Schizosaccharomyces pombe: one gene and its partners. The protein of the gene in region 1 purifies or fractionates together with the protein of each later gene. This does not show direct contact. Each region holds a gene or a part of one and is shown in the gene's direction. Other genes may lie near its edges. The genes, in order: mto1, alp6 and myp2.

Region 1 (9,810 bases):
TGAGGTACCAGGGTATTGGAAAGACATGTGTTGGACCTTGATGATAGCACGTTGCTTGGTCTTAACACCTTCCAAGAAACCGGGTTCAGGGAATTTGAATTCCATTTCGGAGGCACCCAACTCATAGTAGGACTTGGCGGAAGGAACCTTCTTAACGAACTCGGACATGTTACCAAGATACTTACGAAGCTTGAAACGCTCGTAGTGGATAATGGCTTGAACAACGTGGTCCAAGAAACCAGAGTCGTGAGAGACAATGATGGAAGAAACATCCTTTTGGTTAACCAAAAAGTTCTCCAACCAGGCAACATTGACAACGTCAAGATGGTTGGTAGGCTCATCAAGCAAAAGAATATCGGGGTTCTTGAACATAGCACGGGTAAGAGCCAATTTCATCTTCCAACCACCAGAAAGGGAACCGATAGGCATGTTAATGAGTTCATCGGTGAAAGAGTTCTCCTTCAAAGCCTTGACAATTTCATCACGGTCCTTGATGGGGACAGCGGGATCTTGGAGAATGAAATCGACGGAAGGAGTGTCGGCTTCAGACTCGTCGATATCGTGCTCAACGTAGACGGTACGGAGATGAGTAGGGAAACCTTCAACTTGACCGTTGACAATGGCACGCATAAGGGTAGACTTACCGGAACCGTTAGGACCGCAAAGACCATAACGACGACCACGCTTAAGACGGAGACGAGTACGGTTAAGAAGAATCTTGGCACCATAAGCAAGAGAGAACTCACAGTTGCAAAGATCCTCACCCTCCTCTTCCTCCTCAGCATGAGAAGCACCACCAGGAATCTTGGCGATAGAGCGGGTACGGAGTTGCTCAACGATCTTGTGAATGTGGGCCTCGTCAATGAAGGCAGTCAAGTAAGGAGTGATGTTGAGAACCCAGGACTCATTTTCGTTATCCTTCTCTTCAACGAGTTGGGCAGCAATGTTAGCAACGTACTTAGCAATAACCTCCTCGTTGGTGGGGACCTTGATCTCACCGAGAACAGCCTTCAAAGTTTCGAGACAAACTTCAGGGTTGGCGGCGGTAGAAACCTCAGGGATCTTACCGTCAACAACGTTACCAACACGCTCTAAAGTGGTGATGGCACGTTGAACAACGGAACGACATTCAGGGTCACCAATGGTGTCCTTGATGTGGTACAAACCAGGCAAAAGCTTGGGCAAGAAAGGAGCGACGACTTGAGGATCCTCGACAAGCTTGGACATGTTGTCAATAATGACAGCAGTCTTACGCTTAATGGGAGTGGAACGCTCATTCAAACCACGGGCCAACAAGGGGACCATGATAGACAAAGTGGGGGCCTGGACTTCAGTAACGAAAGTAGTGGCACCCAAAGAGTGAATAGTCTCAGGGACCTCCTCGGGGTGAGCAATACAGTTGATAAGCTCAGGAATGAAACGGTCAATATCGGCGTTGGCAATCAAAGTACAGACCTTGGTCATGGTTTCCTTGGATTGCTTCTTAACCTCAGCCTTGGTATCCCACATGGACTCGGAAACAACAGGGATAATTTGAGGAAGGGAGTAGGATAATTGGGAAGGAGCAACCTCAACGAGAACATCCAAAAGTTGCAAAGAGTTCATCTTCTCATTCCACTTACCAGTGGTGTGGATGGACTCGAGAACAGAGGGGACGATGGCCTTGACGGCATAAGGGGTAGTGCAACGGACAATAGCCTTAGAAGCAGCAATGGCAGCATCTCTGACAGCGTTTTGCTTGTCAGCAACCTTGGCGATGACGGCGGGCAACAACTCGACCAAGTAAGGCTCGACATCAGCGGCAACACTACCATGGTTGGCAACGGCCTCAAGACCCTTCAAGACACGCTCACGAGCAGTGGCGTTCTTGTCGTTCAACTGCTTGGAAATAGCAGAGAAAACTTGAGAAGGCGCGTCTTGCTCTTCGATGGGTCCGTTGACAAAAGAAGCCAAAGCCTTGGCAGCATCAGCTTCCTCTGCGGCATCGCAGACAGTAAGGTGCTTCAACAACTCTTCAAGAGCTTTGACTGACTGCTTATTCTCACTCTTTGCAGACATCCCGGGGAAATGGTTGTTGGTAGATGAGCGGAGGTCCTGGTTGTATATGAATGGATTTTCTTAATGAAAATTTTGCAACTAAGAAAATACAGAAGGAGTACTTAAAATAAAATAATAATATGTTTTTATGTATTTAAATCTCATATTTACAATGTGACTGTTCTTTTTCTTTGGTTTTCTTCTTGGTGGTGGCCATAATCCACGGTTTCTTTGGCGGTGTTTAGTGGTTAGCGACGTGGAAAAACTATTAAGCGGCAAAATTAGAAGTCGCTAAATAAAATAACGTGTTTAGTGGCGGCGTCCTTTGTATGACGATATCATTGTAAATGTAAGGCTATATTAAAGATATCACTATAGATAAAGCATGCCATGAACAAATCGACGCGGTCCTTATGTCTCGTTAAACTAATACCACACTGCGTTGTTAAGAACGATTTTTGACGCTGTAACTCTTCTTTTCAACATATGTTGCTTGTAAGCTTTCCGTGGCTAAATGACCTCTGGCAATAATATGGTTTTGGTCGCATAACATGATGCAGTAGCACTAAATGAATTTAGCATAGGGTCGGCATAATCGCATTCAGATAGCTGCTGTCGGACATCATATTTTCAGAGTCAGAACTGTAATGATTGTATATTGGATCGTTATATACCCGCATCATTTATATAAGGTGAATATAGATATATCCTTCATTGAATTTCTATAAGTAAACTCAAATGAACTCCGTTTATGAGTTCATTCGCGAGTTAATTTAAGTGCATTCATAGTAATGTATTACATTATTACAAATATCTTAATACATATTTATAATCATTCATATTGCAATACGCGGGTCATAAAGGTCGCAACTGGGGTATAGTTATTCTGTTATACAGGTTATATTTTTACCTATCACTAATATAGCGTATAACTGATCCTCGTTCTTCATTTCAATTGTGCTTCCATTTGCATTATTCAGATAGTATAGAACTTATTATAATTTCATTAGGAACAATCGTAATATCGTATCATCTATGGTATAATTAGAATATGTAGCATATAGTGATATTCAGCGTTGTGTATCGCAGCGTATGTAATATTGCTGACACCTTAACCGATTTAGCAGAGTACGTAACTGACGAGTTTGAAGCAGTTTTTATGTATTACCATTTTTACTTAATAAAAATTATGTAGAGCGAGTGATGATGCCAAGTTTCTCTTTTATTTTGTAATAATCTATATTAGTAATATTTACATACCTGTCAACTTTTTTTTTCGCAAATTTTTTTAAACAATTTCATGGAATTAATGTTTGAAGAAAACATATCAGATCAATGATCAGCTTGAATAAAAAAAAAAATTGAAAAGAAAAGAAAGTTTTCAACTAGTTGGTTCATTCTAGTAAGTGATGATTGTAATTGATTTAAAAAAAAAAAAAATCCTTCGCTTAATAGAAAGAATGCTTTTCTTTGTTGTATTAAAAAAAATACTGAGTAGTATTAACTTAATTTACTTAGATAAATTAATTTACATATACTTATTTATTTATTATTATTTTTTTTCAGCTGCTCTACATATCTCAAGTTGATGAGTTGTAGAGGACTTTATTTTCGCATTCACTCAATTCAAGTTTCGAACACACTATGCAAATTAAAAATGTTCTCTTAATGAAAAGTATATTTGTTCGTATATTCATAGTTCAATTTACCGTTGCGATTGAAATCATCGAAATGTAGCATCATGTAACACGGTGAAAATAGAGACTGAAACAAATAATTTCAGGCTACATACCAACTATACGTAGGAAAGCAAATTTACGCTTGTTCGTGAAAACCTATGTACTCAAGCATAATCGTAGCGGACTTTAGTGTTTTTAACGTTTATTCCATCAATAATTAATATACTTAGGATTCACAGTGTGAAATGAGGTTAACATACCTTAACTTGAGGAGAGTTAATCTAATGAAAATCATAGTTACGTTTTACATATCATCAATGTATGTACTATTGTTTTGTGTATGTGCCATAGGCATGCCAAATAACATGGCTATTTATAATGTAAACGAGTGTGTGCAAATGTATAATTAATTTCATTAACTTCTTTTGAAAATATCTGCTTCTAACACAAACATTAAACCTTCTAAAATTGTAAAGTCCGCAATTACAAGTCTACTACTTTGTTGATCGTTAGTCTAACATGCGTCAAGTAGAGACAGCCATTGAGAACTACTGCCACTACATATATGCCATAGCGTATCAATAGGCATATCTTCGATCCCATACTTTCTTTTAACAATTAACAATTTAAGAAAGAATTAATTTCTTATTCAAAAATCGCTCCTTTGAAATTGTTACAAGAGTCAATGCCTACTGCTTTGGATTTGCTTATGTCGAAGTTCGTTTTCTAATCAATTATGGAAGAAAATTCCAGTGAGTTAGATAGTAATAACTTTAATGTTCTAGTGGATAATTTAGCTGGTCTTTCGCTGACGGACGAGGAAGTTCGTCGCATTTTATCACCCAGAAAGGAAGGATCTCGGCAATTACCCTCTTCTACATCAAAAGACGAAGATTCGGAAGAAGCTTCTCATAAGTATGATTTTGAAATTGATAGAGATTCTTTAAAATCTGATTCTGGATCACCTCGTCTCCATCAAAATGCTACTGCTCCAACGAGCTCTACTCCGCTTCAATCTCCCGATGAATCAGTCAATAAATTGAATAGCGAGGACGAGGAGGGAAATAGTTCTGTTGCACCTTTTTTTTTGGATACTACGAATTTTGATCGTCTCAATGACAACATTACTACTGATGATGAACAGCTTTCTCCCGTACTTACGGCTAATCAAGGGTTTCAGAGCCAAGAGCAGTATGAAGAAGATAGTTACAATAATTACGATTATACTTCGGACCCTTCAAGTCCGAACTATATCTCTTCTTCTCTAGATCAGTTACCTCATTTGGATGATGAAGATGATTTGCAATTAACCCCAATAAAAGAAGAACGAAATTATTTACATTCTCAAGATGCCCCCACTACCAATGCTTTAAGCAAAAAGATCTCCGATATATTGATACCGGCGTCTGCTATGAAAGACCTAAAAGACAGGAAAAATGCACTTGCCAAAGAGTTTGAGGAATCTCAGCCCGGCTCCTCCTTAACTTTAAAGGAACAAGCAAACGTGATTGATAATTTGAGAAAGGAAGTGTTTGGGTTGAAACTGAAATGCTACTTTCTATACGATCAATTAAATAAATTCCACGATCAGGAGGTTCAAGATATTATGAAGCAAAACATCGATTTGAAGACCCTTACTATGGAGCTTCAACGAGCCGTTGCAGGCTATGAGAAAAAAATATCTGGATTAGAAAGCCGGATTAAGCCTGATCAGTCTTTTAACCTTTCCACCCCCAGCCCGGCCCCTTCAAACCTAATTACTCTTCAATCGAGGTATTCGCAGGCTCTTTCAGAGCTTGAAACTACCAAAAGAGCGTTTGCGGCTTTGAGAAAAGAAAAATCAAAGAAGACGAATTATTCTGTTGGGGCATACAATGAAGATCGTAATGTACTGTCAAATATGCTTGATAACGAACGGCGGGAAAAGGAAGCTCTATTGCAAGAGTTGGAATCCCTTCGCGTACAGTTATCCAAAAAAGTTCCTATGCCTGCAAAAAATACTGATGAGCGTGTTATTGAAACACTTCAGCGTAGTAATGAACTGTTGAGGATGGACATATCTATGCAAAATGAAGCATTACTACTTCGCAAGCAGGAAAATGATCGCCTGGTTAAACAAGTGGAGGAGCTTACCGTTGCTTTGAATTCAGGGAAGATGAATGCGATTGTAGAGGCAGAATCAAGCAAGAATGAATTGTGGGATTCTATGATGGTATCTAGAATGAAAACCCAAGAGCAATCAATTGAACTTACTCGTTTATATAAACAGTTGCAAGATATTGAAGAGGATTATGAAAATAAATTGATGAGAATGGAGCAACAATGGCGGGAAGATGTTGACCAACTCCAGGAATATGTCGAAGAGATTACCCAAGAACTCCAGGATACCAAAGAGGTGCTGTCAAAGTCTTCAAAAGAGTCTGATGATTACGAAGAAGTAGTAGGTAAACTTAGGACTGAAGCAGAGCGTGAAATTGAGAAATTCGAGAAAACAATACGGGAAAATGAGGAGAGTATCTCTTTATTCAAAGAAGAGGTTGAAAAGCTTACTGATGAAATTACCCAATTGTCAGAACGTTATAACGATAAATGCCATGAATTTGACGAATTACAAAAGCGGCTGCAAACTTTGGAAGAAGAAAATAATAAAGCGAAGGAAGATTCAACTTCAAAGACATCAAATCTTCTTGAACAGTTGAAAATGACAGAAGCAGAAGTTGATTCTTTAAGGAAGGAAAATGAAGAAAACAAGCAAGTAATTGCTTTGAAAGAAAGCGAGCTGGTGAAAAGTAACGATAACAAACTTTTACTCAATGAGCAAATTGAGTCGTTAAATGATCAACTTAGTCAGTTAAAAACTGAAATGGAAAGCGTTACAACGAGTAAAGAATCGTTAGCCGATTATCTTAGCAACTTGAAGGAAAGGCACAATGACGAATTAGATTCATTAAATAAAAAACTTCGTGAATTTGAAGGTATATTGTCATCAAACTCTTCTTTAAAAAGTGAGATTGAGGAAAGAAATAATCAATACGTTACCCTTCGCGAAAATTTCGATTCTTTGCAGAATGCTATTATGGAAACATTTGATAAACAGGTCACCCACTGCTCGGTTAACCATTTGGTACAACAGATAAGAAAACTAAAAGATGAGAATAAAAAGGATCAGTCTGGTACTGATAAGTTGATGAAAAAAATCTACCATTGTGAGCAAAGTTTAAAAGAAAAAACAAACTCTTTGGAGACGTTAGTGTCTGAAAAGAAGGAGTTAAAGAACTTACTGGATGCGGAAAGACGATCCAAAAAAGCAATCCAATTAGAGTTGGAAAATTTGTCTTCACAAGCTTTCAGAAGAAACCTCTCTGGATCTTCCAGTCCTTCTGAAAGGAGTCAATCTAGAGAACTTAAACTTTTACAAGCATCTGAAAAACGCCTTAAAGAGCAAGTGGAAGAAAGAAATTCCCTCATAAAAAACATTGTCACTCGTTTTACCCAACTGAATACGGGAAGTAAGCCTGTAAATACCAACGTTGAAGCATTGACGACAATTTCAAGCATGAATCAGGCAGTAAATATGAATTTTAGGGAGTTGGACAAATCCATTCAAGAATTCAAACGGAAGTGTCAATCAATGGAGCGGGAATTTAAGACCGAACTCAGGAAGCTTGATGGTGTACTTGAGGCTAGAAGTAAGCGTTTATCACAGTTGGAAGAACGAGTGAAACTTTTAGGCGCTGGGTCAACTTCATCTATTCCAAATTCGCCAAGGGCTTCAAAACGCGTTAGTTTGGATTCCGAGGATAAAAAGCTTGTTCCCGCTTCTCCAGATAAGTCAGCAGTTCAAAGAGGTATCACAGCTTTGAAACGAGATGCTGAAGGAATGAGCCATATATGGCAGTTGAGACTAAGAGAGATGGAGTTTCAACTCAAGGCTGAGCAAGAAGGTCGTAAAAGAGACAAGTTGGGTGCCAGAGAAAGGCTTCAAGATTTGATTCGACAAAACAGGAGTCTTTCAAGGCAAATAAAAACGGATAAAGAAAGCAATTCTAGGTCTCCTTCTATATCATCACAAGAACATAAATAATAATCTGGATAGTTTGCGGTTGAAGTATATAGCTTTTCTTAATCACCAGTACATATCTACTTAGTTGGAGAATTTAATTGACAAAATAAGCTAATTCCAAGATTTATATTTATTTTTTATTTTTTTTTGTTCTCGATTAACCATTTTGGTGTTTGTATCTCCCTGATTATAAAGGAAATAATCACACATATTCGTAAAAAAAATTTATTTTAATCGCGCAAAAGAATTCGAAATATAATTTTTTATTTAACCTTTTTTAAGTAAATTTTACTGCGCATGTATCATCTTTGTAAAAATTCCCAGAACCCGGTGTTTGTTTACATTTGCTGGGAGAATCGAGTTTTATTCAGGCACAACGTGTACTCAAAATAAATTTCAAAATTGAGCTCACATAAACTTGAATAGGAGCAAAAAAAGGAAAGAATCCATTGCATGGAAAAAGCAATTCACTTGGGACAATTTTATAGAACGATTCCACAAACATAGAATGGACCTACTGGGCCTTAAAGAATTAGACAATAACAAACTAGTATCAAAGGCAAAAGAAAATGGAGTCGAATTTTCTGATTTATTTTTACTATCAAGCGGCTATTTACGAGACAGGGAAAATGCGTCAGCAAGTGTGTCTTCGAAAAATGAACGCATGGTGCTCAACGAAGAAAGACAAAATTGCTGGACGAAAAGAAATGATCCTAAAGGTTTAACTTACTACCAATTACTAAAGCCCAGTGAAGTTGAAATACTTAGTCGACCCGAGACAAGAAGAAAGCGGATGGCCTGTCAAGTTTTCTTCCTCAATTACTATATTAGCACAATTGAGTACCATAAACTAAGGAAGGAAAGATTGGAAGAATTTACAGCGTGTACATCGTCATTAAAACAATCTAAACAGAAGCGACTATGGAAAGAGCATTGTGGAAGGGAAAGAGCATTTTTGAGAAAAAAAAGAACCAAGATTCAATGTAGCCATTTCGATTTATTAGTAAAGCTTGGACAAGGAGGATATGGTTCTGTGTGGCTTGCTAAAAAGCGCAACACACACGAATTGTTAGCAATGAAAATGATGAAAAAATCAACATTACAGCAACTTAATGAAGTAAGAAGACACTATTAAAGATCTTAAAAGAAAACTAACAACGGCTCAGGTGAAACACATATTGAATGAAAGAGATATACTAACGAATACTAATTCCGAATGGCTTGTAAAACTGTATTATGCCTTTCAAGATAAGGAAAAAGTATATCTAGCAATGGAATACGTCCCTGGAGGAGATTTTCGAACTTTTTTGACTACCAAGGGGCTTTTGCATGAAAATCAAACCCGATTTTACCTAGCAGAAATGGTCGCTGCAATCAGTGCAGTCCACAAACTAGGTTATATGCATCGTGATTTAAAGCCCGAGAACTTTTTAATTGATCAAAAGGGACATATCAAGCTTAGTGACTTTGGGCTAAGTACTGCAATTGTTACATCGAATCAGGTAAATCGACTTCAACATGCACTAGTGAGCGCGGTTAATCCTCAGAGACCTTATTTAACACAAAAGCAAAGAAGAAACATTTATAAAGCGCTTTTGGAAAAGAATGAGAACAAGGTAAAGACATTTTGATTCAAACGTAAACTAAAAAAAAATTAGGTAAATTCCGTTGTTGGATCTCCTGAATACATGGCTCCAGAAGTTGTTTACGGAAAGAAATACGATAGGACCGTAGACTACTGGTCACTTGGCTGCATATGTTATGAATGTCTGGTAGGATATCCTCCCTTTTCTGGGTCAACGCTCCAAGAAACGTGGACTAATCTATACTACTGGCGAGAAATGTTGCAGAGACCCTCCAAAAATGAAAATGGAATTTACGACAAAAAAGCGAGATCGGTTTCAGACGAGGCATGGTCTTTCATCACCAAGTGTCTAACAGAACCAACGTCAAGATTTCAAAGCACAATCGAAATCCAAAAGCATCCATTTTTTAAGAGACTCCATTGGAACGGTTTGCGGAAAAGAGCTG
Region 2 (9,447 bases), on another chromosome or scaffold:
GGATAAAAGCTTGGGATCCTTGTGTGTTTGGAAAATCTCGATTACAGCCCTCAAAGAGTATGCGTTTTAACCCCAGATTTACTAATATCACTTCTGATAGTGATAGACCTGATAAACGGATTATGATGCTGACTGGACTGGCAGGTGCAGGTAAAACGACTTTGGCTCATGTTATTGCTCATCAGGCTGGATACAAAGTTTTGGAAATAAATGCTAGTGATGATCGTACTGCTCATACGGTTCATGAAAAGGTATCCTCTGCCATTAGCAATCATTCAGCCTTGTCATCTCAACCTACATGTGTTATAGTTGATGAAATTGACGGAGGTGATCCTGCATTCGTACGAGCACTTTTGAGTTTATTAGAGAGTGACGAAAAAGCGACTGAGTATTCTCAAGCTGGTAATTCAAAGAAAAAGAAAAAGTTTAAGAAACTTTGTCGTCCCATTATTTGCATTTGTAATGACTTATATACTCCAGCACTTCGACCTCTGCGACCATATGCTCAAATAATATATTTTCGACCACCTCCTCAAGCATCTCTTGTCGGTCGTTTAAGGACTATTTGCCGAAATGAAAATATAGCTGTTGACAGCCGCTCTTTGACTTTGCTGACAGATATCTATAATTCTGACATTCGAAGCTGTATCAACAGTTTACAACTTTTGTCTTTAAATAACAAACGTATAGATTCTGAGACCATAAAGCTTTTGCAACCAAAAAGTAATTCTTTTAGTACTTCTAGTTTAATCCAATCTCTTTTTTTACAACTTGATAATAAACAAATACGTGCAATTGAAGCATCGCAACCTACTTACTCACATTTGGACGCCCTCCTTGCAAGGATTGATGGAGCTAATGATTCTGAATCAGTCTTGATGAATTGTTTTCATACATACTTAGATCTTCCTTTTACTGATAGCTTACTTTCTAAACCTGCTTTGACAAGCGAGTGGCTTTACTTTTTCGACCAACTTCATTCACAATGTTATAAGGGAAATTATGAGTTATGGAGGTACATACCTTATTCCATTATTCATTTTCATTATTTGTATGCAACTCCTGAAAAGTGCCGCCTTCCGCATCCTCCCAGAAGTGATTTGGAAGCTTTAAAACTTTATCGTACTCGCAAAGAAATATTGGATTCATTCATATCGACGCTAAATGCTTATGAAAATCAAATGCATGGAGAAAGATCAATTCTTTTGGAACTTATCCGTACAATTTTAATTACCATAAATCCTACACTAAAACAGGTAAGGTCTATATATTTTAAAAAAAAAAAAAAAAAAAATTGCGTGAAACAATATTTTTTTAATTTACTAACTTTTTATAGAAAGAAGATTCTATGCCAAGGAGCGCTTTACCTTCTAAAATTGAGCATGCGATTAACATTTTAAATCATTATAATTTGCGTTTCCAACAGCTTCCCGTTGGAGATGGCAACTATGTGTATAGGCTTGAGCCGTAAGTTCCAATATTTTTATTTCTTTCTAGTAATAGCTAACGTTGACAGACCTTTGGATGAATTGGTTTGGGACGCACCTACAAGTTCATATTCTGTTCGTCAAATGCTATCTCAGGAACTGCTCAAGAAAAGGCTCGCAGACATTAAAAAACAAACCCTAACGGACAACCCCACTTCTTCGAATTCTTCAAGAAAGCGCAAAGATTTTAATTCCGGAAAAGCAATTAAGAGAGATTTTTTTGGCCGTATCATTTCTGAACCAAAATCTGAAGCAGTTACATCGAATAATGCAGCTTTGAATACAGGAGATCATCCAGTTTCCATCAAGCATGCAATCAATATCAAATTTCACGATGGGTTTTCCAATGCTGTGAGAAAACCAATATCGTTGAACGAGATTCTGAATTTCTAATCTAATGTGCATTAATATTTTTAATTTCAATCTTTTTGAAATAAAATCAATCATTTAATTTAAAAAAAAATCACTAGTAAAAATAGGTGTATGCGTAAATTCATCTAACCATTATTTCCTGACCGCGACTTCGGCGTGTACTTTGTCAATGGCTTTAAGATTTTGAGTTAACGATCAATACTTGTATTTCTCTATTTTAATTCAAAAATAAAAAAAATACTTTCGTCATTTGAAGTTCTCAAATGTCGGAGATTCATGTGAAAACTGCATTATCACGTCTGGCGGACAAGTATTTACAGAACTCCAAAAACCCTTCTGTCCCTTACACAATTGAAACGATCGTGTCTTTCTTTCAGGAAATAATTCACTCGTAAGCTAATTTCGTGTAAATGATCATGCTAACTGTTAGCATTTCTCCTGATACTTTTCAACTGGACATTGATGACATTCTGTACAAAATATATTCAAAAAGTATGTGAAGGTCTAAATACCAAAATTAACAGTTTTTTAGTTCCCCCCGAAGAAAACAATGATGCTTTATTTTCTAAATTATCTAACTTAGTTTCGCGTTTGAAAAGTCAAACGGTCATTCACAACAAATCTCAAATACTCTATTTCTTATACTTGCTCTCTCCTATTTCTCAGTCATCAAGAGATGTCTCCTCTCATTTATTAGATGAGTCTATTTCCAATCCTATCAATATTCCATCAACAGAAGTGGAATCCTCAAACTTTGGTCAGACACGTTACGATCAAGTTCCTGAAAACCCCCAAATTACTGATTGGGATGAAGGATTGGAAAATGAAAGTTCTATCTCAATTGCTCATGATTCATCTAGGCTAAACCGTAGTACTGAAACTTCTTCTGTTCAACATACTTTGATTACAGAAGCCGATTTGTTGTCTTCAATATCTTACGTACTTCAAGGAATTTCTACCGAATATGTTCAGTTTAAAAATGAATTAGCGCTGTTGTCTAAGAGAATACCTGTCCAATACCTTTTACAGATGCGAGCTCTTTCAGAGACAGGCTTATTATATCAGGAACTAAAGGTTTTCAGCAATTATGATCCTTCGGTCAGTCAATCCATTGATGGTGATAACGTTAGTAAAGCATTTATAAACGATCAGTCTTTAGCTTTACAAAGTTTAAAATCGGTCATTTCTAAAGAGCTGACTAATTTCCTTGCGTTAATTGCATCTCTGGATTCACAAATTCGAGCAGACGCTTCACTTGAGAAGCCTATGGTAACTATCCGGCGTTGCATTGCCTGGACGCAAGTTGCCAAGCTAAAACTTAGAATTTTGTCTTCAGTTGTTAATGATAATATGAACCAGGAGAATAAAAAAAGATTGATTCAAGTGGTTTCGAAATACAATGTGCATGGAGATCCGCTAATACAAGAATTGAGTGATAAAATACTAACAGAAATTACTGGACCTTTATACGAAATGATTGAAAACTGGATTTATAAAGGAGAATTGGTCGACCCTTATCAAGAATTTTTTGTTAAAGAAAAAAATGGTAGTGAAAGCCATGATCATCAAGGGCAAGGTGATGTCGTCTGGAAAGGTAAATATTTTTTAGACAAAGAGTTAATACCAAGTTTCCTTTCTGAAGAACTTGTCGACAAAATCTTTTTGATTGGAAAGAGTTTAAACTTCGCACGTTATGGATGTGGTGATTTTGACTGGGCACAAGAGCATTACCAGAAGCTAGTGAAAAAACTTAGTTATAGAGACCCTCATTCATTAGAAACAGTGGTTGATAAGGCGTATACTGAGTCCATTAATCACTTAGTATACTTGATGGAAGAGGTGTTTCATTTGACTGATCATTTAAAGGCTATCAAAAAATACCTTTTACTAGGACAAGGTGATTTTGTGGACTTATTAATGGAGAGCCTTGGTAATTCTTTGGATCAGCCGGCTAATACTTTGTTCAGACACAATTTGACTGCTTCTTTAGAAAGCGCCATTCGTTCAAGTAATGCATCTTATGAACCTGAATACGTATTAAAAAGATTGGATGCTAGGCTTCTGGAGCTTTCACATGGTGAAACTGGTTGGGATGTTTTTACGTTGGAGTATAAAGTTGATTCACCTATCAACGTAATAATAACACCATATTGCTCTAGACAATACTTAAAAATATTTAACTTTTTATGGAGGTTGAAACGAATTGAGTTTGCCCTTGCCCATTCCTGGAGGCGAGTAAATTTGGGCGAGCGAAATGTCTTCAGAAATCTGGATTACACAAAATTCGAATGGCATTTTGTCAGTTGTCATCTTGCGGAAATGATTCATTTTGTTTGTCAACTTCAATATTATATACTCTTTGAGGTAACGAAAAACCAAAACCCAATTTTGCATTGTATACTAACCATTGGAAACAGGTTATCGAAATTAGTTGGCAAGAATTACAGCTTGCTATGGAGAAACCAAACGCTACATTGGATACGTATATAGAGGCACATGAAAAATATGTTACTAGTATAACTCATAAGGGCTTGTTGGGTGGTGGTAAGTCAAGGAATGAAGATTCCTTCCTTCATCAGCTTCATGATATACTTAAAGTTATCTTAAACTTTCATGATGCAATTGAGTTGTTGTATAACTTTTCTTGCTCCCTGTCGAATAGAATTCGCATTAATGTACCAATTTCGACTGATGCTTTGGCAGCTCAATACACCCCTATAAAAAATGAACTCTCAAATTTTACTGAGGAATTCCAGGTTCGACTTCAAAAATTATTACATGGATTAGCTTCCCATAAGGACCCAGAAATGCGCTTTCTTTCCGTTCGTCTCAATTATAACGAATTCTACGTTTCTCATAGACGGCGTCATGATAAGGATGTTACCAGTCAATAAATGAGGTTCATGCATGATTATTTAAACTTTTATTACTCGTAGTAAACTATAAATTTAGTTATTAATATTTAATGTGATTTAACTATCGTTCAGCGGTGCTGTTTAATTTGCCTTTGCCAACCACCAACACCACCCACCCATTTGGTTAACTTTTTTCAGCAACCACATATACGGATATCATGTCCGCGCCTGCTGGTAGACTTCAACCTCAGCGTTTTGCTGCTTTACCTAATCCCGTTACTGCTGAAAATAAATTTTGGCGGTCATTCAAGGTTCCTGTCGTTGCCAAGGAATATAGTGCTATCACTAGTATTCATTTTTCCGCTGAATCCCCTTATGACTTTGCAGTAACTAGTGGGGCTCGTGTACAAATTTATGGAGCTAGTTCAAGGTCTGTTAAAAAAACAATTGCTCGATTTAAGGATACCGCATATTCTGGTAACATTAGAAAGGATGGAAAACTTTTGCTTGCAGGAGATGCTACAGGACTTGTACAGGTAAGTCTACATTACCAAAAGCTTTGAAAGATAGTTGCAATTAAAACGTTGATAAGCTGCACATGGAATTTTGTTAGTTTAGTTTAGCTGATTGAAGCTGTCATTTGCTAGTATATAGCTAAAAAAATACCATTTTTCCGGTGTTTGTCAACGCTTTAAACTTACTTTAGAGGTTTTCTTGTTGCCATTGATTGCTAATGTACTTTCAGATATTTGATTTGTCAACTCGGAGTATTTTGCGTGCTTTAGACGCTCATCAGTTTCCAGTTCATGTTACACAATTTTGTCCTTATGCCAATACCACGTTTCTCTCTGGATCCGATGACAAAACTGTAAAGGTCTGGGACTTGTCAACTGGTGCCGTTCAGTATGATCTTTCTGGACATGAAGATTATGTTCGTACTGCTTCATGGATGAGTGCTACTAGACTTGTGAGTGGTGGATATGATGGTACAATTCGTTTATGGGATACTCGAATTGCGGACCCAGAAGTAATGTCTTTTTCGCATGGTGAAGCGATTGACGTTGTGCTTCCAATGCAATCTGGTAGCACTGTTATTTCAGCTGGTGGACCATCCATTAAAGTTTGGGATTTAGTGGCTGGAAGACAAACACCTACGAAGAAGCTGTCTAATCATCAAAAGAGTATCACATGCCTTGCCATGAACTCCGAGAATACTAGACTTTTGAGTGGTGGTTTAGACGGACATGTGAAAATTTATAACATCTCCGATTGGAAAGTTGTCCATGGCATGAAATATTCTGGCCCTATTTTATCTATGGGACTTTCTCCGGATAGCTGCAATTTAGTTGTGGGTATGTCGAACGGTACATTATCGCAACGGACTCGACGTATAACCAAGCAAACGAGCTCAAAAACTCCTTTCTTAGGGGGCGTCGGAAGTGCTTTTGGTGTAGTAGGTAAAAAGAAACAAATCTATAAGGGCGAGAACGATGAATTTTATGTCGAAGAGGCTAGACGTAAAAGACTTCGTCCTTTCGACAAAGCTTTAAAATCATTTTGTTACTCTGATGCTTTGGATATGGTATTGGAGAACGGATCACCTGTTCTTATCATAACTATGCTTATTGAGCTTCTTCATGTTGGAGGGTTACGGATTGCATTGTCTAACAGAGATGATTTATCTCTTACTCCTTTGATAAACTTCTTAAGAAAATATATAAGAGACCCTCGTTTCTCCGAAACTTTATGTATAGTTACTAGCACCATTTTAGATATATACGGAGCTGCTCTTGGGGGCAGCGTAATGGTGGAAAATGCAATTTCAAAGCTTCGTGAAAAAGTTGAGCAGGAAGTAGCGGTTACTCAAAGGGCAAATGAGTTGGTTGGTATGCTTCAGATGTTGTCTGCTTGACCAATGATTATGATATCTTAATGTGCGAGTTATACCTCAATTTGTGTGTTCTAACTAGCAACCTTTACATTATCGATATGATTCACTCAGATTGTTTATTAAAAACGGCGCCTTATTTGAGATTTTTAATTACAGCAATAACTGCCACCCTTTGCCGCTGGAATTGGTAAATATCAAAAAATTTTATTCAATGTTTGGGTGTTAATTTAAAGTATTCGCAGAAAAACAAAAACTTGGGATTTATGGCAGGTTAAGTGGTCTTAAAGGAAATAATTATTTATTAAAAAAAAGTAATTTTGTAGCTTGTTAAAAAGGATAACCGGATTTCATGTACCTAGAAGAGTAAATCAACCAAAAACATAATAACAAAAGTAAATTAATGAAAGATTCCATAGTATCATAATATTGGTGATGGAAATTATATAGATCGTAAAAGATAGTAAACGTTAAACCACTGCCAGCAGTGGTGATCTTAGGCATGTCATTCGAAACATCGCCTACAATTAAGAATTTGAAAGAATAGTGATGCTAGCCTTTGTTTGCAATTCTTCAATTAATTGGGATCGCAAGTATGGTTTCCCATTAACAATCCTGCTGAATGTGACTACTTGAATATTACCAAGAAGATTGATAGTGCACCAAGCAGGCAAAGCTTTTGAAAGCAACTCAATTGCTTTGGCACACTGGTCAGGTGATAAGCTTGATGATATCGACATTTGCATGCTTGTCACAATTTCAGACATAGAAAAAGATCGTTTAGTTGGCCAAGTGGAAAGCTGAACAAAAATGAGATCAATAATGCGGACAAATGAGACCTTTTCTTTTGCTAGAGTATGAACAACTAGGTTGTTTTTAAATTCTTCAGCTTTTTTTGCTTCCATTGCTTTTTGCTTTTTACGCACGCGATCGAACAGAGAAGATTGTCTCAAAGTTAACTGAGATGATGTTAGCTTACGCGATGAATTTTGAACAGATGAAGAACTTTGATGGGATTTCAAATTGATTTTTGAATTCACTGACTTTGACAAAGTGGACGAACTGTCAAGCATGCTACACGAGACTAACTCATTAGCATATTTTGCCGTGTTAGTAGTGAATTTTGGTTCTAGAGTTTGTGTGGGAATACGTAACTCGCGACTTGTTGATTTCTCCAAATTGAGCTTTCGAACTAGTGAACTTTCATTAACAGTATTCTTGGATAGACTGGGTAAAGCTTGTAACTGTTGAGCAGGAATCTCAGTTTCAGAACAATGCTCTAACAACCATTTTTCTAGTCTCCGTTTAAATTCAATGGAGCGGGAGAAGGCTTCAGGAAGATTCGCATTGCGAGGGTATGACAGTTCATATGTTGCAACACGCTTTCCTTGATGAATAGTAAAACATGGGGTAATAGCAAATGACTCTGGCCATACGGTTAAAATCTGAGCGAGATGAGTTATTTTTAAGGAGATTTTGGTGAGACCAGAGACTTTATTTTCTAACAGCACAAAGGTTGGTTTGGTATTGATGGAGAGGTGAAATTTTACACATATGTCGACTGCATTAAAGACCTTTTCTAAGAAAAGAACTGATTCATTTTTAACTGGGGGTAAAACCTCATTTTGTTCTAAAGACTCAGTGTCCAAGTTCTCTTTCAGCCTTTTAACAGCTGGTATTATTTGAGAATCCTCAGGATTTTTGGGTGGCTCAATAATGGCCGCATTCGACCTTTTTGATGAGGATCGAGTTTTACGGACAGAGAAGTTCAATTTTGTTTGCGATCCAGCGCTCATGATTTGAACACAAAATCCAAAAATAAGGATATTGTTGTCGTGACTATATAGGGCGCGACATTTCATTTATATCGAGGGTTATATTAAATTTGAGCGTGTCGCGTTTGTTGACGCGTCGCGTAGCTATCGTGTCGCGCTTGCTAACTAGTTCACATTTGTCCGACTAATCAGTTTATGTCTTACTTAGCCTATATGATTCAGTAGATTATATTGAATAAATAAGTTCCAACACTTGTACAAAATTCACAAAACAATTTTTTAACTACAGCTTTTCATTTTCCGAAGTTTTTATAGAATCTCTTATACGAGTTTAAAATTATTACAGGATGCATCGTTATATAAATTTTGAATAACTCCTTTGCTCTGCGAGATATTATTGAGTTGTTCGTTGTCGAAATTTTCAATAATATGTTACATGTCACAATGATTTCTGTATAATAAAGGTGTTGCACCAAGTTCAGGCTCTCTGAAAACAAACTTGTGTCAAATAGCCACTCGTCCACTTATGGTCTTCCATAAGTTGTACGAATTCAAAACTTTTAGTTAACTTTTTTACTATCAGTGGATAAGTTGCTATAATAAATGAATAAAAAGATGCCCTGTATGATTTCTATCGACTAAGTCTTTTCTATTTATACTGGGTAGAGTAACAATGTGACTCAAATATCTATAAGGACCGATTGAAATCAACCAAGTACAAATAGAAAAACGATTCTAAAATTACTGAGTATAAAAAACGAATTTCTCATCAAGGACCCTATTTTCTTTTTTCTTTGCTCAAGAAGTTATTAAGCTCTATTTTCGAAGGTTTTCACTCACTCGACAAGCTACATTGTGAGTTGGTACGACCGTGTTCCTCCATTTTTGTAAAGAATCGATGTCAAGCCAGGCGGATTGAAGAAACCTTGAAATGAAAAGAGGAAAATGTAAGGAAAAAGATAATGGTTTGAAGAGAATTTCTTCGGAATCGGAAGTTTGGAACTTTTTAGACGTGACAGTTTCAGAGTTAAACAAGCAAAAGCGCTCGCCAGGACAGACCGTGTCTAAAC
Region 3 (11,791 bases), on another chromosome or scaffold:
ATCCCCATGGAGGGAAGGGAAAAGCCAAACATATTTGGGAAAGTGAAGCGGAACCAGTTTTCAGTAGTGCTCACAGTATATGTGAAGTAGTTTTGACTAGACGGAAGGATCATGCAAAAAGTATTGCAAAGAATCTTGACGTCGGAAGTTATGACGGTATATTATCTGTTGGAGGTGATGGCTTGTTTCATGAAGTGATCAATGGCTTGGGTGAGAGAGACGATTACTTGGAAGCATTCAAACTTCCCGTTTGTATGATACCTGGTGGATCTGGTAATGCATTTAGTTATAATGCGACAGGACAACTTAAACCAGCATTAACCGCTTTGGAAATTCTTAAAGGAAGACCTACTTCTTTCGATTTAATGACCTTTGAACAAAAAGGAAAGAAGGCTTACTCTTTTTTGACAGCCAATTATGGTATCATCGCTGACTGCGATATTGGTACTGAGAATTGGAGATTTATGGGTGAAAATCGTGCATATCTTGGGTTCTTTTTGCGTCTTTTTCAAAAACCGGATTGGAAATGTAGCATTGAAATGGACGTTGTGTCTTCTGATCGTACAGAAATTAAACACATGTATGAGAAAAGTAAAAACTTAGCACCGATGTCTGAATCAAGCGATAGCGATAAAACGGTTTCGACGAGTCCTGAATCACATTTATTGACCTTTGAAATCAATGATCTTTCAATCTTTTGTGCTGGGTTACTTCCGTATATCGCACCTGATGCAAAAATGTTCCCTGCAGCTAGCAACGATGACGGCTTAATCGATGTTGTAATTGTTTATTCTAAACAATTTCGTAAATCTTTATTGAGTATGTTTACTCAACTCGATAATGGAGGTTTTTATTACTCTAAGCATTTAAACTATTACAAAGTTCGTTCTTTTCGATTTACTCCTGTTAATACGGGAAAGCGTCATTATTTTGCTTTAGATGGTGAAAGTTACCCATTGGAACCATTTGAATGTCGCGTGGCTCCAAAATTAGGAACTACTTTATCTCCTGTTGCAGGGTTTCAATTGTTGGATATATAAGCAACAGCGAGTGGTTTTTTTTTTTTTTTCAATTTGTCCAACTTATTGGGGTTTTCATTAATTAATTAGTTTTCTGTAATTAAGCCACGCTTAGGCTCTATAATTTTAGACTTGTTTTAATTTCGTTTAATTGTATTTAATAAACAGCGAACTAAGAGTTCTTTTCCTCCGAATTTATATACGACATTTAGAAAGATTCCGAACAAAAGCAAGAGCATTAAGTATTCTTTTTCTTTGTACTTTCGCCCATCCTAATTTGCAAATTAGGAAATTACAAAACGTTATCGTAGACTGAAGAAGTACACTTCTATTCCTGTTCGTTAGCACGTTTAGTGGTGTTGCGATGCACTGGATTTATCACTAATCATTTTGTACTTCAGGTTTTAATTGTTCAATAGTCGAATTAGAGGTAGTCAATTATACGTTATCAGAATTTGTTTATTAAACATTTATGTCTTCATTACATTGCTTATACGACGGATAATAAAACAGGCTTAAAAACTCCTATTCATATGATGATACTCATAATATTATGAAGTGCATTAGAAGAAGTTACTCGTGTCCAGCGCCAGTTTATTGTGTTTCAAATTTATACCTCGTATAATGCGTTTTGTTCTGGTGGGCATAGATAATCTGCATATATAGATATTAAAATATGATGAATACTTACCAGTCAAACTATTGGAAACAAAAAAAATAAGTAAATTTAACTTACAGCTAAATAATGTAAACATACCCATCTTAGTTGTAAAGCTCGTCAAAAACAATTTAGTGAGTTTTACTGAAGGCCGAAGCATTTTTTGCATAGTATAAAACTAACAATCGCGAGAGCATTACTCTGTAGTAAGGCCAAGAGTTGCAGCATTTATGAATTAATATAAATACAACGTCTCTTTTAAATGTTATGCTTCTCTTTGGCAGCATTTTTTGTTCTTTTTAATACTTTTGTATCATTATCCTTCTAATAGAGTTAAAAAATAAATCTATGCGATTTTTTGCTAAAAAACCGTTATTTTTTAGACAATGCTGAAAAAGGAGCAGTTAACTGTCGAATCAATTAATGATGGAATATCTAAAACGTTTAGTCAAGCATTCCGTTTCCTGGCTCATCATGAGTTACGCAAGAATAGAACTTTCATGCTTGATTTGGGAGTGTCGATTTTAAAAAAATTTTTAATTGATAGCAGGGATTATAAAGTAGAAGTTGTTCAAGATTTTTGCTCAAGGAGCTTAACGGATGAGTTTAAGTTTAAATTTACATCACAACCTATAGATTCAAAGTCAGAATCAGATTCTGCTTCTTACATTCGAAACTATTTGGGACCAGAAGGCATTAAACAATTTGGGGGCTCAAACTGGTGGCTTTATCGAAAGTCACCTTTAAAATCCTGGTGGATTGAAAGGCGACATCATATAAGGCACAATCTCAAATGTGATAAAGTTATTTTTTATGTTCATGGAGGTGCTCATTATTTAAGTACTGTTCGTACTAATGCTTATCATATTCAGCGTCATACTGCAGCTCTGGGTGCTAGAACCTTTGCTCCAGATCTGCGGTTAGCACCGCAATTTCCCTTTCCTTGCTCTTTGCATGATGTACTTTCATCTTATTTGTATCTACTTAAAAGCACCAAGCCAGAAAATATAATATTTATGGGCGATAGCTCAGGTGCTGGTTTAATCGTTGCATCACTAGTTTTGATTAGAGATTCAAAATTACCCTTACCTGCTGGAGTAGTTTATGATTCCCCTTGGGTTGATTTGACTCATAGTCTTCCTTCTGTAGTTGCAGATGATGCTGCTGACTATATTCCAAGCGAAGGATTTCATCACCGAGCCAGCAGATATTGGCCCATTACTAACTTAGATTCTTTCTCAACGATATCCGAAAAGGAATTACTAAATTATTCCAAGAAACAAGAATTGACTAACTTTATTGAAAACAGCATACGTAAAAAAATTCAGACCATCAAAAATTTGATCCCCGTGTTGCAAGAGATGGATAAAGAACATGCACGTATTGATTTTGACAATGTGGACTCTCGTTTAGACCCTAACATTTTGACTACATTTCCTTTTCAAGTACAGTTTTATACCTCTAATGCAAATTTAAAGCATCCTCTGATCAGTCCTATCTTCACTGAAAACCTTGGTGGTTTACCGCCGTCACTTGTTCTGGGTGGATCGGGCGAACGCTTACGAGACGAAATAGTGTACATCGCTCACAAAATGAATACAGACGTATACAATGGTAAGCGTACAAAGGTTCGTTTGGAAATGTACGATGATTGTTGTCATGTCGTTACAGCTCTTCCTTTTGTAAAAGAAGCTGGGATTATGGTCCGACGTGCTGCTAATTTTGCTTATTGGTGTTTAAAGCAGCATGATTCGTCTTTTGTATCGCCTAATAAACACCTTGATGGTAATCCGTCTCATGCTAATGAAGATATGGTTCGTTTAAGAATTTCGCGAAATGGTGAGGAACGATTGATGGAGCCTAAAGATGAAATTCAATGTTTAAATTTACCGAAAAGTGCTTTAGGTACTATACAGGTGAAAGCACTCATTCGCTGGATTGACGTTGAATTAATCTTGCTCAGTAAAGACACTAAAAAGCCAGCACGGTACTTCGCTGAATTTAAACACGCCGATTTAAATGGGTATTTAGTCAAGCCCAAAGAGTATACGATGGAAGGGGAAAATCCTCCACTTTCTGCCTTGGTAGCTAACTGTAAAATTAGCCCCGAAAAAAAACAATAATTGCCTGAGACTTGTTTTCATTCTTTTATTTTATCTCTTCTCGATTTCCTTTTTCGTTGAAGTTGAGTTCTTTAGTTATTCACTTTACTTCAACTTATTTATTTTATCAGAAGATTACTAAGGGATATCCACATACGTGCCTAATATCCTGGCAAAAGACGACTGGCTTACTACATTTTAACAGGTATAATTTATTGTTTAACCATTTATAAGTATTCTCTTACATAGTATTGTAAACAATCCATTTGTATTTCGTTGCCATAGTAACATTCATAAATATTTACATTGCTGCGCAGTCATGATTTATACAGCTGCAGCATTGCCAATGTGTTATACTTCTTAATTTAATGTCGTATCTTTCAAAAAATGGCTCTAACGACAACAATAATATTATCAAAAAGCTAGTAGATGCTGAAAAACATTGCAATGCCGTGAAAGACGCGTCTTTTGATGAACGGACATGGATCTGGATTCCTGATTCGAAGGAATCATTCGTGAAAGCTTGGATAGTTGAAGATTTAGGAGAAAAATATAGGGTGAAATTAGAAAGAGATGGCTCGGAAAGAATTGTGGATGGATTTGATGCTGAAAAAGTAAATCCACCGAAGTTTGATATGGTTGATGACATGGCTGCGTTGACATGTCTCAACGAACCATCAGTAGTTAACAACCTTACTCAGCGTTATGAGAAAGATTTAATATATACCTATTCAGGCTTGTTTCTCGTTGCTGTAAACCCCTATTGTCATTTACCAATTTATGGCGATGATGTTGTGCGAAAATACCAATCTAAACAGTTTAAAGAAACTAAACCCCATATTTTTGGAACAGCTGATGCCGCATATCGAAGTTTATTAGAAAGGAGGATCAATCAATCTATTTTAGTTACTGGTGAATCAGGAGCTGGAAAAACTGAAACTACTAAAAAGGTTATTCAGTACCTAACATCGGTCACTGATGCTTCCACAAGCGATTCTCAACAGTTGGAGAAGAAAATCCTTGAAACGAATCCTGTGTTGGAGGCTTTTGGGAATGCTCAGACTGTCCGGAATAACAACTCATCCCGCTTTGGCAAGTTCATACGAATTGAATTTTCTAATAATGGAAGCATCGTTGGAGCGAATTTAGACTGGTACCTTTTGGAAAAATCTCGCGTTATACATCCTTCCTCCAATGAACGCAATTATCACGTCTTTTATCAACTACTTCGAGGTGCTGATGGATCATTGCTTGAAAGTCTTTTCCTTGATCGATATGTTGACCATTACTCATATTTAAAAAATGGTCTCAAGCATATTAATGGAGTCGATGATGGCAAAGAATTTCAAAAATTATGCTTTGGTCTCAGAACTTTGGGGTTTGATAATAACGAAATTCACAGTTTGTTCTTAATTATAGCTTCAATTCTTCATATAGGAAATATTGAAGTAGCATCTGATCGTTCGGGGCAAGCTAGATTTCCTTCCTTAACGCAAATTGATCAATTATGCCATTTACTCGAAATCCCTGTTGATGGATTTGTTAATGCAGCTTTACACCCAAAGTCCAAAGCTGGACGAGAATGGATTGTGACGGCAAGAACACGTGAACAAGTAGTCCATACACTACAATCCTTAGCCAAAGGCCTTTATGAGCGTAATTTTGCGCATTTAGTGAAACGTCTGAATCAGACTATGTATTATTCTCAGTCTGAACATGATGGGTTCATTGGGGTTTTAGATATTGCTGGGTTTGAAATTTTCACTTTTAATAGTTTTGAGCAACTCTGTATTAATTTTACAAATGAAAAGCTTCAGCAATTCTTTAATCATTACATGTTCGTTCTGGAACAAGAAGAATATACACAAGAACGCATCGAATGGGATTTTATTGACTACGGAAATGATTTGCAGCCCACCATAGATGCTATCGAAAAATCTGAGCCCATTGGTATTTTTTCTTGCCTCGACGAGGATTGTGTTATGCCAATGGCTACTGATGCTACATTCACAGAAAAACTTCACCTTCTTTTTAAGGGTAAATCCGATATATACCGTCCTAAAAAGTTTTCTAGTGAAGGCTTTGTTTTAAAACATTATGCTGGTGATGTCGAATATGATACCAAAGATTGGCTGGAGAAAAACAAAGATCCTCTAAATGCATGTCTTGCCGCACTAATGTTCAAATCTACTAACAGTCATGTGTCTTCTCTTTTTGATGATTATTCGTCAAATGCTAGTGGTCGAGATAACATTGAAAAGAAAGGAATCTTTCGTACTGTGTCGCAGCGTCATAGGAGACAGCTTTCTAGTCTTATGCACCAACTCGAAGCAACTCAGCCTCACTTTGTCAGATGCATTATTCCAAACAATTTGAAGCAGCCTCACAATTTGGATAAATCTCTCGTTCTTCATCAACTTCGATGCAACGGTGTACTGGAGGGTATTAGAATTGCTCAAACTGGATTTCCAAACAAACTATTTTATACAGAATTTAGAGCTCGTTATGGGATTCTTTCGCAGTCATTAAAGAGAGGATATGTCGAAGCAAAAAAGGCAACAATAACGATCATCAATGAATTAAAATTACCTAGTACCGTATACCGTTTGGGTGAAACAAAGGTATTTTTTAAAGCCAGTGTCTTGGGTTCTTTAGAGGATCGCAGAAACGCTTTACTGCGGGTGATATTTAATTCATTTTCAGCTCGCATTCGTGGGTTTTTGACAAGACGGAGACTTTACCGGTTTAATCATAGGCAAGATGCAGCTATCCTTCTACAGCATAACTTGAGGCAGTTGAAGTTATTGAAGCCACATCCTTGGTGGAATCTTTTTCTGCATCTTAAACCGTTATTGGGAACAACCCAGACTGATGAGTATTTAAGAAGAAAAGACGCACTCATAAATAATTTACAGAATCAATTGGAAAGTACCAAGGAAGTTGCAAACGAATTAACTATTACCAAAGAACGAGTCTTACAATTGACTAACGATTTGCAAGAGGAACAAGCTCTGGCACATGAAAAGGACATTTTGGTAGAAAGAGCCAATAGCCGGGTTGAAGTTGTTCATGAGAGACTGTCAAGTTTGGAAAATCAAGTAACTATTGCTGATGAAAAATATGAGTTTTTGTATGCAGAGAAGCAAAGCATAGAGGAGGACCTTGCCAACAAACAGACAGAAATTTCTTATCTTTCCGATTTATCATCTACATTGGAGAAAAAGCTGTCTTCAATTAAGAAGGACGAGCAAACGATTTCTTCTAAATATAAAGAGCTTGAGAAAGACTATCTGAATATCATGGCGGATTATCAACATAGTTCGCAGCATTTATCAAATCTTGAAAAGGCTATTAACGAAAAGAATTTAAATATTCGCGAATTGAATGAGAAACTCATGAGACTTGATGATGAGTTACTATTAAAGCAACGAAGTTATGATACAAAGGTTCAAGAATTAAGGGAAGAAAACGCAAGCTTAAAAGACCAATGTCGTACTTACGAATCTCAATTAGCAAGTCTTGTTTCCAAATACTCAGAAACAGAAAGTGAATTGAATAAGAAGGAAGCCGAGTTAGTTATCTTTCAGAAGGAAATCACGGAATACAGAGATCAACTTCATAAAGCTTTTCAAAATCCTGAGAAAACTCATAACATTAATGATGTAAAAAGTGGCCCCTTAAACAGTGATGAGAATATTTATTCTACTTCTTCGACCACGCTTTCAATTTTGAAGGATGTTCAAGAGCTTAAATCATTACATACGAAAGAAGCAAACCAGTTATCTGAACGGATTAAAGAGATAAGTGAGATGCTTGAGCAAAGTATAGCGACTGAAGAAAAGCTTCGTAGAAAAAATTCTGAACTATGTGATATAATTGAGGCCTTAAAATACCAAATTCAGGATCAGGAAACTGAAATTATCTCTTTAAATGCTGATAATCTGGATTTGAAAGATACAAATGGTGTTTTGGAGAAGAATGCTAGTGATTTCATAGACTTCCAAGGTATAAAAAGCCGTTATGAACATAAAATTTCAGATTTACTGAATCAGCTTCAGAAGGAAAGGTGTAAAGTTGGGCTATTAAAACAAAAAACAGAAAATCGGTCAGTTACACAACACACTTTAGATGGAAATTCTCCACATCCATCATTTGAAGAGAAACATTCAGGTGATCCTCTAAAACGCATTGATGGTAATAACGATGATCGAAAAATTGACAATAAATTATTGAAAACAATTAGTAAAAGCCTTGATGCTTTGCAACTAACCGTTGAAGAAGAACTTAGCAATCTGTATTCCCTCTCTAAGGATTTATCTTTTACTGACATTTCGGGACACATACCAAACTCTATTAGGAAGCTTGAAAAAGGGTTGAGTACTTTATCAGAATTAAAGGAACGTCTCAATGCATCAAATTCTGACAGACCTTCCCCGGACATTTTTAAAGATACTCAAGCTATCATGAATTCTCGGAAGCTATTAAGCAATCCTAATTCTGATGCTCAAAGTGGTTTAATATCATCATTGCAGAAAAAGCTTTATAATCCTGAATCTAATATGGAATTTACTGGGCTGAAACCTTTGTCTCCAAGCAAAATCAGCAATTTACCCTCTTCTCAACCCGGCTCACCTTCAAAGAGATCTGGCAAAATGGAAGCACTGATTAGAAATTTTGATCAAAATAGTAGTATTCCTGATCCCTTTATCGTTAATCAACGGAATTCCGTGCTTCAAACAGAGTTTGAAAAAATCAATTTGAAGTTAAAGGAAGCTACAAAGTCTGGAATCTTAGATAACAAAGATCTATCAAAATTTTCGGAACTTATACAATCTTTGTTAAAAGAAAATGAGGAACTTAAAAACTTAACTACTAGTAATTTAGGCAGTGATGATAAAATGCTTGATTTTGCTCCATTACTTGAAGATGTTCCAAATAATACTAGAAACCAAATCAAAGGTTTTGTGGAAAAGGCAATATCATCGAAGCGAGCTATTGCAAAGTTATATTCGGCAAGCGAAGAAAAGCTGTTTTCAACGGAAAAAGCTTTAAGAGAGATAACCAAGGAAAGAGATCGTTTGCTTCATGGGTTGCAAGGACCTTCTGTTCCTACATCTCCTTTAAAGGCTCCCACTGCTTCTCAATTAATAATTCCCAATTTTGATGGTAGTATAACTAATTATTCTGGAGAAGAAGAAACCGAGTGGTTGCAAGAAGAAGTTAATATAATGAAGATAAAGGAGCTTACTTCTACAGTTAACAAGTACCGCGAACAGCTTGCGATGGTCCAGTCACTCAATGAGCATGCAGAATCTTCACTTTCTAAAGCTGAAAGGTCTAAAAATTATCTTACCGGGCGTTTACAGGAAGTTGAAGAACTCGCTCGCGGATTTCAAACAACAAATGCTGATCTGCAAAACGAACTGGCAGATGCTGTCGTGAAACAAAAGGAGTATGAAGTTCTTTACGTTGAAAAGAGCAACGATTATAATACTTTGCTGCTGCAAAAAGAAAAACTGATGAAACAAATTGATGAGTTTCATGTCATTCGTGTTCAAGATCTCGAGGAACGAGAAAAGAAGGATCAACTACTCTTTCAACGTTATCAAAAGGAGCTAAATGGTTTCAAAGTACAGTTGGAAGAAGAACGTGAGAAGAACTTGCGCATTAGACAAGATAATCGGCACATGCATGCGGAAATTGGTGATATCCGTACCAAATTTGACGAATTAGTTTTGGAAAAGACAAATTTGTTAAAAGAAAATTCAATACTTCAAGCAGACTTACAATCTCTTTCTCGTGTCAATAATTCTTCCTCAACAGCGCAACAAAATGCCCAAAGCCAACTTCTTTCTTTGACTGCACAACTCCAAGAAGTACGAGAAGCAAACCAGACATTAAGAAAAGATCAAGATACCCTTTTAAGAGAAAATCGAAACCTTGAGCGAAAACTTCACGAAGTTTCAGAGCAATTGAACAAAAAATTCGATAGTTCTGCAAGACCTTTTGATGAAATTGAAATGGAGAAAGAGGTATTAACACTCAAGAGTAACCTTGCTCAAAAAGATGACTTACTATCATCATTAGTTGAACGCATAAAACAGATCGAAATGTTTGCGCTAAAAACTCAAAAAGATAGTAATAATCATCGAGAAGAAAATCTTCAACTGCATCGTCAACTCGGAGTTTTACAAAAGGAGAAAAAGGATTTGGAGCTCAAATTGTTTGATTTAGATCTTAAAACTTATCCCATATCAACATCAAAGGACGTCCGAATGCTACAAAAGCAAATATCAGATTTGGAAGCATCGTTTGCTGCTTCCGACATCGAACGAATTAAAGGAATTGATGAATGTCGCAATCGCGATAGGACTATCCGTCAACTGGAAGCTCAAATATCAAAATTTGATGATGATAAAAAGAGAATACAGAGCTCAGTTTCTCGTTTGGAGGAAAGAAATGCGCAACTGAGAAATCAATTAGAAGATGTGCAAGCTTCAGAAACACAATGGAAATTTGCACTACGTCGGACGGAACATGCTCTTCAAGAAGAGCGTGAACGCGTCAAAAGTTTGGAAACCGATTTTGATAAATATAGATCTTTGCTGGAGGGTCAAAGAGTAAAGAGAAGTGAAAGTAGATTATCCATGAGGTCCAATCGTTCGCCTAGCGTTCTAAGGTAGCCAAGCTTCCCAAAGACTCGACATGTATTTTTTAAGATGATGTAAATTATTAGTTCATGAATTTAAAATTATTTTATTATTACTATTATTATGCTCTGCGTCAACGTAACAAGTAACCACAAGGATACTTTAGTTCAAAAAAAAAAGTAAGTCGGTCAAGTAAAAGGCATTTTAGTTCGGTTTACTTTTTATTTTACCCCTATTATTTGTACAATGGTTATATGCAGCAATCACATTGTAAAAGAAAACTATGAAGAGATAGGCGGCGATATTAAATGTAGAAGAGCTCTTGCATAACAGCGGCACAAATATAAATACAAATACAAATAAAAGAAGAGGACATTTACAATTACACTTTAACATTGTAAGTTGGAAGAACATCACAAAAAAATTTCATTCAAGTATAAAAATTCTAAACGTGATTCAGTGGCTTGCATTATAAAATATTTATTGTCATAACAATCATTATAAACTGTTTGTAAAGAACAATCATAAAAGGAGCAAACGTTTTCAAAAAAATAAAACAATTACTCGATGTATTGAAAATCAAACACCGACTTATTGAAAACATCGAATGCATCCAACATGAAGTAAAATCTATTCTTGAGCACCATTGAAAGCGAGAAGGTTAATAGTGCTGCTACCAACAGGAATAGACAAGAGTACATCGTGAATACCCATCTTAATGATAGCATCTTTAACTTCGCTAGCGCTGGCAGCAGGGTGTAGGCCAAGGTAGTAAGCGGACAAACCTGCAACATGAGGGGTTGCCATAGAAGTACCAGAGATGGTGTTAGTACTAGTATTTGAACCGATCCATGTAGACAAAATGTTAAGTCCAGGAGCGAAGATGTCAACACAGCTACCATAGTTAGAGAAGTAGGCCATTTGGTCGTTTATAGTGGAAGCGCCAACGGTGATGGCTTTCTTAGAAGCAGCAGGAGATGAATAGCAAGCGTCATCATACTCATTTCCAGCAGCAACGGCATAAATAACACCGTTGGTAACGGCAGAATCAACAGCCATATCCAAAACAAAGCTGTTGCCGCCACCAAGAGACATGTTGCCAACAGAGGTTTTCTTGCCGGACGATTTGTGATGACGAACAGTCCACTCAACACCGGCAATCACATCAGCCATGGTACCAGATCCACTGGAACGGAGAACCTTGACAGCAACGATTTCAGCCTTCTTTGCAACACCATAAGCACGGCTAGCAATGGTACCAGCAACATGCGTACCATGACCATTGTTATCCTCATCAACATCACCAGAGGGAATGGTTGCACCCCAAGAAGCGCGACCTTCGAACTCAACATGATGAATGCT

The links.
Region 2: the proteins of mto1 (region 1) and alp6 purify together in Schizosaccharomyces pombe (affinity purification with western blotting; 2 studies listed by BioGRID, with this or other methods). This does not show direct contact.
Region 3: the proteins of mto1 (region 1) and myp2 purify together in Schizosaccharomyces pombe (affinity purification with western blotting, with the first as the bait; one study listed by BioGRID). This does not show direct contact.

What each region holds. Positions count from the first base shown.
Region 1 is NC_003421.2:1,677,914-1,687,723, reverse strand, and holds mto1 (gamma tubulin complex linker Mto1), read left to right. Parts: upstream 1-4,452; coding exon 4,453-7,800; 3' UTR 7,801-7,963; downstream 7,964-9,810. Other genes in the region: tef3 (translation elongation factor eEF3), read right to left, coding at 1-2,058; mug27 (protein kinase Mug27/Slk1), read left to right, coding at 8,288-8,896, 8,946-9,395, 9,438-9,810. UniProt on the Schizosaccharomyces pombe protein: Spindle pole body (SPB) component that acts as the gamma-tubulin complex-binding protein of the SPB outer plaque.
Region 2 is NC_003423.3:476,382-485,828, reverse strand, and holds alp6 (gamma tubulin complex GCP3 subunit Alp6), read left to right. Parts: upstream 1-2,000; 5' UTR 2,001-2,122; coding exon 2,123-2,250; exon of another isoform or gene 2,251-2,289; coding exon 2,290-2,351; exon of another isoform or gene 2,352-2,391; coding exon 2,392-4,223; exon of another isoform or gene 4,224-4,276; coding exon 4,277-4,753; 3' UTR 4,754-4,881; downstream 4,882-9,447. Other genes in the region: Ctf18 RFC-like complex subunit Ctf18, read left to right, coding at 1-1,256, 1,337-1,467, 1,517-1,880; U3 snoRNP protein Utp15, read left to right, coding at 4,933-5,250, 5,460-6,626; DNA replication licensing factor Cdt1, read right to left, coding at 7,130-8,398; wpl1 (WAPL family protein), read left to right, coding at 9,309-9,447.
Region 3 is NC_003424.3:2,546,022-2,557,812, reverse strand, and holds myp2 (Myo3-like myosin II heavy chain myp2), read left to right. Parts: upstream 1-4,109; 5' UTR 4,110-4,147; coding exon 4,148-10,462; 3' UTR 10,463-10,553; downstream 10,554-11,791. Other genes in the region: lcb4 (sphinganine kinase), read left to right, coding at 1-1,040; SPOM_SPAC4A8.06C (esterase/lipase), read left to right, coding at 2,064-3,800; vacuolar serine protease Isp6, read right to left, coding at 11,060-11,791. UniProt on the Schizosaccharomyces pombe protein: Stabilizes the F-actin cables forming the F-actin ring that surrounds the nucleus during interphase. May work in conjunction with myo2.